Neodiprion lecontei: one gene and its partner. The protein of the gene in region 2 purifies or fractionates together with the protein of the main gene of each other region. This does not show direct contact. Links are inferred from orthologs where the notes say so. Each region holds a gene or a part of one and is shown on either strand. Other genes may lie near its edges. The genes, in order: retinal rod rhodopsin-sensitive cGMP 3',5'-cyclic phosphodiesterase subunit delta; ras-related protein Rab-28-like.

Region 1 (3,819 bases), on a different chromosome or scaffold from region 2:
TCGAGCATCGAGTGAGCGAGTTCAAGAAATTGATACTTGGTAGCACTGCTGGTGAATGACGTGCAGAGCATGAGGTGTGTTTGAAGAACAGGAAGAGCACCACCCAAGGAAAGCAGCTGGGCCCTGACGGATCGCTCTTTTGTCTCAAACTGTCTCTGAATCTCGGAGAGAACAGACGAGTGGGTCTTCGCTACAGCCTCCTGCATCCCCTGGCAGTAAGAGTTCAAGGATCTTTTTTCAGTCTCCAAGCTGTGTCGTAGTTCATCCAATTGAGACTTCAAAGCTCTGAGTCCATCGCGTACGCCAGCCTGCAATTCGCAAATAGAGTTTGCTGCACGTTCCATTTTCTTTGAAGCCTGCTGCCACGCTCCGTCAATGTCGACGCAGTGGAGCCTCGCATCGGCCGGTGTGTCCCGGAAACATGTTGCGCATAACATGCACTTGGCGCTTTGACTATACATTATGTACTGCTCTCCATGCGTGGCACATTTCCTCTGAGTATCTTTGGCACATTTACTCATGTGGACGACATCATGGCTCGAAAACATCTTTGCTCGATGTGTGTGTTCCCTGCAGTGGTTGCACAACGCTTGACCTATTTGGTAAATTTATTTCATTAGAATATACATTTACCAGAAGCATTACTTTTTACTAATAACGCATTAAATTGCCAATAGACCAGTAGATTGAAATTATTTGTTACTAGAAATCGGTCATACAAACCGCAAGTTGTACAAAAGAACATTGTAGTTTTATCGCGTTTATCGCAATTGGCGCATGGTGGATTTTCTGAGTTTGCCAGCTCAACCAGCTGACGCATCAGGTAGTCTGGTGGAGGAAGCTGTGCCCCTTCTTTCAGCTGGGTTACTTGCCTGTAATAATTATGCAGAAAAACGGTATCAGGTTCGAATAAACAACAAAAAAATCCATGTTTATACTTCTCGCCATTCAGTTGTTTACATGCATAATCATATAAAAATTCGTCCACAAAATATTGAAAAATTGACTATGATGAATTTATCTAATTGTACTGTTGTATTCTGTGATAAAATAATGGGATATTCATAAATGTTTCTATTAGAAACAAATAATGATAATAGGAATAATAATAATAATAATAATAATATTGCCATTGTGCATAAGTTAATTGCTACAACGTTGGGGTAAGAATATTGACGTTTTGAAAACAATAAAGAGAGGTGAAAGGTCATCAATCGCCATGTAGATCTGTAAGGGTAAAGAGAAATGTGAGGTTCCGTTTTAAAGGAGTAGACAATTAACATCGAAAGCATCACGTAAATTTGGAATCCGGCAATTGTTCATAAAAATCTTCAAAGAGTTTGGCAGATGGAAATGGGGAGTATAGATTGGTAAGCTCGTAGCCATGTTGACGTAGGTATGTAGAACGCGTATGAGTGGGAGCGGTTGTAATTGATACAATATAAATCAATGCGTATACATATACATAGGTATAATACGTTAGATCTAATAGAAATGTGTACCCGCAAATGGGGCATGAGACTTTGCCGTCGGGATGTGGCCCCCTCAGACATTGGGCGCAGAAGCTGTGAAAGCATGACAGCAGACAGGGCTCGTTGTAATAATTGTGACAGACGCCGCAGACCAACGGCCCATCGGCGTCTCCATCGGCGGCAAGGCTCCCCGTGTTTGCCATCCCGTCTCGAATCCCCGAATTCCCGTCCTCTCGCCTCCCTCTCCAATTTCTTACTCACTTTAGGTAGAGATTTTTAATCTTAACATTGTATTAAAACAATCCAAGCGCGCGCTCGACGTCGACATCGTAAAATCTGTACGTCTCCCGGCAATTACCACCCGTGTTTCAAGTTTCCGACGAATTCGTAATCACTGCGGTATTTCTTGACTGACAAGCACGGATATTTACGGCCAATTTATCAGGGTCGACATAGCGGCGGCATCTCTCCAACCCTCAGCCCTGCTTTTTGGCTGCAAGAGCGCGCGCCCCACGCTAGGCAACCTAAATTACGCGCGCGCGCGCAACTTGCATACTCGCATAGAGATAATTGCATACTACCATGCAGACCATGCATACTACAGATTCGACGAGGAAAGTTTCCGATTATAGGCGACCATTTCCGAGGTTTCACGAGTCCTGCGAGATATGGACGGTCGATAGTTCTTCATCGAGCTGTCATTATTTTGTTTTCGTAGTGAATTGCAGTTTAATTCTGTGAAAAGAAGAGCCTGGGCATCTGCAAAAATGCCGTTACGAGCTGAAGAAATTCTCAAGGGATTTCAAGTGTATCCTTTCAATGTAGTTTTTCGATCCGTATGGAATAATCGTGCGTAGCTTGAGGTAGGTTATGTTGCCCGTAATTGATCAGTTTTGTTTGCTCGTGTCGTTCACTCACAGTAGAATCTTGAAACCGTACTAAGTATCTAGATGAATATCAGAGAATATCTGTCATATTGTATTGATTAGTCCTTGACTGCTAATTGCTGTCGAAACAGTAATTGGATGAATTTGCGTGATGCTGACAGTGGAAAAATACTTTGGCAAGGGAACGAGGACCTGTGAGTAAAGATTTCACCTGGTTCTCCAAAGAATTGAGAACCTATCTTTAAGTACTACATTTCTTCATATCAGGTCTGTACCAGAAGTTGAACACGAAGCCCGAGTTCCTAAAAAAATCTTGCGATGCCGGGCGGTATCTCGAGAGATCAATTTCAGTTCCGCCGAACCAATGGAGCGCTTTAGATTGGAGCAAAAGGTTTTGTTCAAAGGACGCTGTCTTGAAGAATGGTTCTTTGAATTCGGTTTCGTCATTCCTAGCAGCACAAACACTTGGCAGACTCTGATCGAAGCAGCCCCAGAGAGCCAAATGATGCCAGCTAACATTTTAAAGTATAACTCCTTTGCTCTTAATTCTGATCTGAAAATTTGACTTAAAAAAAAATGTTTCAAGTTTTTGACTACTTTCTGTTGCTGTGTTTTCTTGTTTTAGTGGGAATTTAGTTATTGAAACAAAGTTCTTTGACGACGATCTCTTGTTGTCTACTAGCCGTGTTCGCCTGTTCTACATCTAGGAGAATGAGCATTCAAATCGACTTTGAGAATTTGAACCACCCTGGGACCAAGGAATACAGAAAGAAGCTCAAAAACAGCGAACGTAGAGCTACTTAATAGAAAAACCTAGTAGCAGTCAGCATTAAATGTTCATCACGGTAGCAATCCTTGATAATACAAGAAGAATTAACATTGATCTCATGACTTTCTCTAAACGGAGCTTTCACCCAACCCAAAAATTTTGTTGATACGAGCAACAAAAACAATGATGATAATAATGAGAAAATCATAATCATGACATTGACACCATAAGATTTTTTATCCAATTAAACTTCTTTCACAAAAACGCCACTGGAATGAAACTTTAAAATATTACAAACAATAGCGTATTATTGGCTGTAATAAAATTCAAACATGCTTCTATATTTATTGATTTACAACTTATCATATTTAATTATTAATTAATTGTATATAAACGTATGTACTTCTAAGTCTTTACTATCAGCAGCACCAGCTATGAGTTATCCAAGCACAAAGCATTTTTTAAAATAACCAATAATACTGGAAACTCTGTTGGCATATTTTTGTAAATACATTGTGATACACTGCACTTAGTAATAAACGGTATTATAACAATAACATACAACAGTTTATTGCAAAGTAAACAAATATTTACCCCACAGTCAAAGAATTTTTCTGTGAGTACAGTAACATCTCGTCAGTTGAGTCCCGTATCAAAGCTTCAGACATTATCTCAAGTGCATTCAATAGCT
Region 2 (5,718 bases):
GAAACTTATGTAGAGCCTTTGAATGAAAAGTTGACCAAACTTTTGGCGCTTAAGAATAGAATATTAGAACGTGATAGTTGGCCGAGAAGGCCATTAACGAAGCATGAGCTTTAAACCGAATTCATCAATAACATTGGATTGATTATACTTCAGTTTGTTTGTTACAAATTATCGACAAAAATATGCCGATAATTGTTAAAGAACATTACTTATTGTCCTTGTTATCATCCTATTAGTATACTACATAGTCTGATCAAGTTAACGATAAGGCATAGAGACGTGTAGAAGCTCATTTGTACTTGACGAATCAAGATCCTTCAAATATAATTGAAATATATATCTATTAAACTCACAGTACACATAGTATTTAAACATGTTATCCTGAAAAAATGTATGAGACATCATGTTCTGCGGTGTAGATTTGAACTCATTTACGGTCATATTTATTCTATAGTTACGTATTTGGTTATTTATAATTCCTGTGCACGTATCTAGCAAGTATAATAATAAGGAGAAGATCGTTCAGTAGGGTAAAAAATTCATCATTTATTTTTGCGTCATGGTATATGACTTTGTCATGTAATTTTTAGAGTATTACTGAATGATTTATGGTAAATTTTGCTTAAGAAATCTCATTGTCAGTTCTATAAGTCGTTTCACAATGGTTTTTTTTTTTTGTTTCCGTAGGCTGGTAGGTCGTCGTTCCATGTTATGCAAAAGCATAGCCAATGTTAAGCAACCATGACTTGAGAATTAGACTGAGAAATATAATTTTTAAGTATCTGTTCCATGTTATCATTATAATGTATGATAATGTAAATATTGTAACTAATATAATATCGATATAAATATCTTTTCAACTTATTCGATAAAGCGTCTTCGCGAATTGTTGCGTTGGACCCTTTCGAAATTCTTGACTTCGATTTCTTCAAAATCAACTGTCACTTTAAGGCACCCGTTGCTACATTACATCGTTTTTGTTATTATTAATATCGTAACTTATGTGATTAACATTCGATACTATGCATTCAAATAAACTCCTTTCCTTCTGTGTACGTAATTCAACTACTGCAACGAACAAATACTCGATTTCGAAGGTGGAAGCTCAGAATTAGACTCAGTCTTATGAATTTTTTTCGCGTGCTTCTTTGCGCATTTTTTTAAAGCCGTCGACGGTACTTGTTTTGAGGTCAACGTATCATCGATTACGGACTGCACTATAGGTTTGTAAAATCCTCGATCAGCTTTTGTGACGCAAATACCTAATACTTCGGCAGCCAAACTTGCGACGCGCATTGTTATCTGAAAATATAAAATAAAATTGGATAACAGAGTACAGAAGGCTTTAAATTACTTACATACACAGTCTGAAAATACAGGATTGTCGTGGTAACCGATATTTGTTTAACTGAAAATAAGTCCACCAGTGGTTTTTTTTCTTTAGGTAGAAAAAAGTTTATATGGTCTACGGAAATGGTGATCAGTTTTATATACTGCATTGATAAGTGAAATGCCATCCGTTCAGCGCAACTGAAAAGTATGTAAGGTAAATAATTTTTTGAACGAAGTATGCCTTTAGAAAATTCTCTCTAATCTCTAATAAAATAAATTTTACTGTTCATTCGCAGCAATCAAGTTTACGCGTGATTAGGTGAATCCAGCAAACCTATACGTAGATACGTAGTATCCTTGATATTTTAACTCAATTATTAACTAGTTTAAAACTCCTGTCAATTTTTTGTCAACTACACGCATCTGTTATCACAGACGCCGAGCTTCCGTGCAACAGAATCTGTAGTGTTTCCTGCGCTTGGTGATTGCTGTTAAAAACAGTGATAATTTGTTTCAACTACTGTATAATTATCATTGGCTACATTAAAGGTACCAATGGGAATTGATTTTGACAGACATAGAGAAAATACAGTTGCAGCATTACCTTTCCAAAGAAGACCTCAGTCTATCAATGAAAGATATTCAGGTAAGAAATTTTTCAGCAATTATAATTTCCTGATTCGATTCCTGATTTTATGATTATTCAGAGTAATCATTGAAAGCGGACTAACAGTTAACTGAAAATCTTACAACGGCCTGAAATAATTACAATGCGATCCTGTACATGTTATCCTGATTTGAGAAAGTTGACTGATGTTTTGGTTCTCGCAAGAGCACATCGCTCAATGTACCGGCGAAATTTGAATGTGAAGGATTACCGATTCGCCGGTTCTAGCTGAAACGTCGTGACACGGTATCCCGCTTTCAGCTGCGAACATGTGGGACTTGTCTCTTTTAACACTCCTCTGATGTTCCATATCACACTTATTTCCTATTATTGCCAAAACTGGTTGTGCTTCGAGTACCTCGTTCACTTTTTTTACCGTTTCAATCCATTCTCCAAGAATTTCGAAACTCGAAGCGTTTGTCACGTCATAGACAAACAGAATTACCTAAGAAACGTAATATAGGTATTCAAAAAGAGTGTACGTAATCATTTTAGGGAATTTCCTACTTCTCCCTCTGTACTTTTATGATTCCATTTGTAACTCCATGATGTGCTTGTTCAAGAGTAACACCAAAATTTCGTATCAGAGATAGTTTAGATACATGAATAGGTATGAAATTGCCGAGAACTATATGATATATACTGTAAGGGTCCTCTTGCAGCATGCAATTTCGTAATTAAGTGGGTCAAGTTCGTTAAACTCCTCAATTCAAAAATTCTATCTCAATAACTTACGTACGTGTATTCCGACTTACGTGTGCGCCAAAAATGTACTTGTCCAGCATATTTCCATGTAACGATAAACCGCCAACGTCCCAAATGTGAAGGGTGATACTTTTGTAGTCTCCTAGACTGATGTTCTTTAAAAAGAAGTCAACACCGGCTGTCGGCGTATAGTGTCTAGTAAATTCGCCATTGCAGTATCGCGTCGCTATACTGGTCTAAGAAAAAAAATCTTTTCATTAGCGCGGGTTGTGTGTTTCAACAAAGATTATAAATTTATTTGACTGTTTCAACCCGCATATCACGCATTCAAAAGTGTGATTAGATATTTACGTTATATAGTTGGAAAATTCAAACCAAAAATATGCCTAAATTTTTCACAATGTAGATACAAGCAGTGTCTTAGAAATCAGCGTAATTTAATACTTCTAGATATTCTAGATGAAATATTCGTAGGATCCTTGACTTGGAGATTAGTTGTGCCTTTGTATTATATACGGTAAATATTTCATTGTCCACCGAACAAAAGTTTTTTACAACCAGTGTCCAAATTATACAAGGAATGATTTTAGTATTTAATGTATGAAGTATGAATTCACAGGACTTGCACTCTGAATTAGTCGGCTTTAGTGATTGCCAATGAGTTGTCGTTGTAATTGACGGGGCGGAGTAAAATGTCCGAATTATTAACAATTCGCCAGTTAGCGCTTTCGAAACTTTTCAAATTCGGAATTTCAACCCCGTCCCTAATTGACAACGTCTAGCGCAACAGATGCTTTCTTCCCAGTCTGCTCAAAGAACCTTGACAATCCGTTGGCTGAACGAAACGCGAATTGTCCTCTACGGTGCATTACAAGCATGCCACCTGTTTCGAAAAACCACACTCACTTTTCCAGCTCCGGTATCCCCTACGAGAACGAATTTCAATCGTTTTTCAAAGAGTTCTTCCTCCGAGTCAGACATTTCTTAAATAACAATCACGCTAATAATAACGTCAGGGTGACACTCGAGTCAGTTTTGTACTGACCACCAGCCTGAAGCAAGGCTCGGTGCCAATCGACCGACCGTCGCCTTGGAGCGGTTCAAATAAAAGCCCTGTCAGCCAACATGAATAAATTAAACAACAATCGATATTCGACCATTATCGCCGTCGATCTGGCCTCAGCTCGCTCTGCAAAAGCCATTACTGGCTCTAGACGTAAAGTCGCCTCGCGCAAGCGCCTTCGGAAGGCCTCTCGCACCATCGCATCGTCAAATTGTGCTTTTCCATGCCAACTCTGTATGCATTAGCTTACGCGGTAGCTTGACGCGTATAAAGAAACAAAATTGCACGATCTAGACCCAATTTTAGTCACTGTACTACAATCACTGGAATCATGAAACAACAAGGAAAGAACTTGTATATTGGAACGGTGCTGCAGTGTGCAGGAACGATCACTGAGTGGATCAATTCAGATATTTCAAGATTTTGTTTCTTTGAGTATTTCTTTATTCAAAAATAATATATTATATACGCTTATCTTCGTAGTTGCGTATCCATGCGCAGATGTTAACATCTGTTTGTTAATAGATACAATGTATTTTTTATGTACGTGTAAATTCGTTCATCTTGGCACTTGAATTTTACGGACACGAAAGGCACAGCACTGTGTCTCAAGTCGAGTAATTCACACTTGAAAATTGAATTATCATTAATTTTTCTAATTAAATATTAAATCTTTGTAGTTATGCAATAAATAATAGTTCGTAACTCTGGAACACGTAGTCGTCCTAACTACCGTTGTTCTATCGGCACGTTCGAAGTTGGCTTTAACGATTTCGTAATACCTTCCGTCGCTGGAAATAAAGAGAAAATTGATTTGAATGTATTGTTTACATGTCTAGATGGCAATGGTACCCTTACATCGCTCATTGACTGTTTTGGATCGCTTTAATAACAAGTTTATAATTGAAAAGTCTTTCTCCCAACTCTAGATACAAACTATAGCATTGGATTCTAAAAATAGTTCACTTTATGAATTGATATAGTATATGTTTTCATATTTCTTTCGTCAATCAGGCGTGTTTCTCATTTCCAGAAATGCTCAACTTGAATACATATATATTATTGTATGTATGATAAAAGTATTGATGAAATATTGGAAGCTTTGTTAGGATTTCGTTTGGAAAGTTTCTTATTAGTAGAGGAGAATTCTTTGAATGCTCGCCAATGGAATATGATCGTACCTCAATACCAAACATCTAAGCTTAATACATTTCACCCGCAAAATGTCGATAGCCTTTTGACTCTTGTCAGAGAATCGAAGATTTTCTGGATCCCACCGTAATTCGAGTCGTTCAAGGTTGGGACAGTTATTGGCAATGCCGTCCATGAGCTGATCCACGTGAATATTAACCCCCAACCGCTCCTGGGTGCCCATAACAACAATCCTGTAAAACAAGTTTTCATTGTTTTGGCTAATGTTAGACTTTACGATTCTCGTGTAATCGATCAACTATTCACTTCGTGTTTGTCAGAATTGGCAAAATGCTCTGCCACAGTTGGTCCGTGATATGAGGCATTCCCGACAATGCTACACCCCAAAGCTGGTGACCGTGTCTTGACAAGAATTTGTGCAAACCATCGTCGGTCAGGTTATCCGAACTGTCTAGGTCCAAGGCTATCAAATTTCTCGGATTTCCAACCTCGGCCCAGGATTTAAGTACGCTGTCATTGAAGCCGTTCAATTGCCCAGCGCTGAGAAATCGTAATCCAGGAATCCGCGTCAGCATATCGATCAGGCACTCGGTACTCAAATCTGTTGCTGTTATGTCCAATTCTTGGACGCTGGACTTTTCCCACTCCACCTGCATCACGTACTCACTTTGCAAGTCTGCAACATAGGCATGTTTATTTTCAATCAGATTGTGATCAGCATTGTCGAGAATTGCTATTAGTAAATACGTATAATTGTCAGTAATACTCGAATGTAATCTAGTTTCAGGTGAAACACAAA

What was found.
Region 1: the proteins of ras-related protein Rab-28-like (region 2) and retinal rod rhodopsin-sensitive cGMP 3',5'-cyclic phosphodiesterase subunit delta purify together in Homo sapiens (affinity purification with mass spectrometry; 3 studies listed by BioGRID and IntAct, with this or other methods). This does not show direct contact. The link is inferred for Neodiprion lecontei from reciprocal best matches to the Homo sapiens genes RAB28 and PDE6D.

The regions. Positions count from the first base shown.
Region 1 is NC_060263.1:14,623,577-14,627,395, reverse strand, and holds retinal rod rhodopsin-sensitive cGMP 3',5'-cyclic phosphodiesterase subunit delta, read left to right. Parts: upstream 1-2,116; 5' UTR 2,117-2,239; coding exon 2,240-2,280; intron 2,281-2,490; coding exon 2,491-2,553; intron 2,554-2,626; coding exon 2,627-2,884; intron 2,885-2,984; coding exon 2,985-3,066; 3' UTR 3,067-3,242; downstream 3,243-3,819. Other genes in the region: RING finger protein 207-like, read right to left, coding at 1-595, 724-872, 1,503-1,675. UniProt on the Homo sapiens protein: Promotes the release of prenylated target proteins from cellular membranes. Modulates the activity of prenylated or palmitoylated Ras family members by regulating their subcellular location.
Region 2 is NC_060260.1:25,740,938-25,746,655, reverse strand, and holds ras-related protein Rab-28-like, read right to left. Parts: upstream 3,814-5,718; 5' UTR 3,686-3,813; coding exon 3,611-3,685; intron 2,941-3,610; coding exon 2,755-2,940; intron 2,445-2,754; coding exon 2,211-2,444; intron 1,303-2,210; coding exon 1,066-1,302; 3' UTR 595-1,065; downstream 1-594. Other genes in the region: hexosaminidase D, read left to right, coding at 1-114; F-box/LRR-repeat protein 7, read right to left, coding at 4,423-4,558, 4,949-5,152, 5,226-5,595.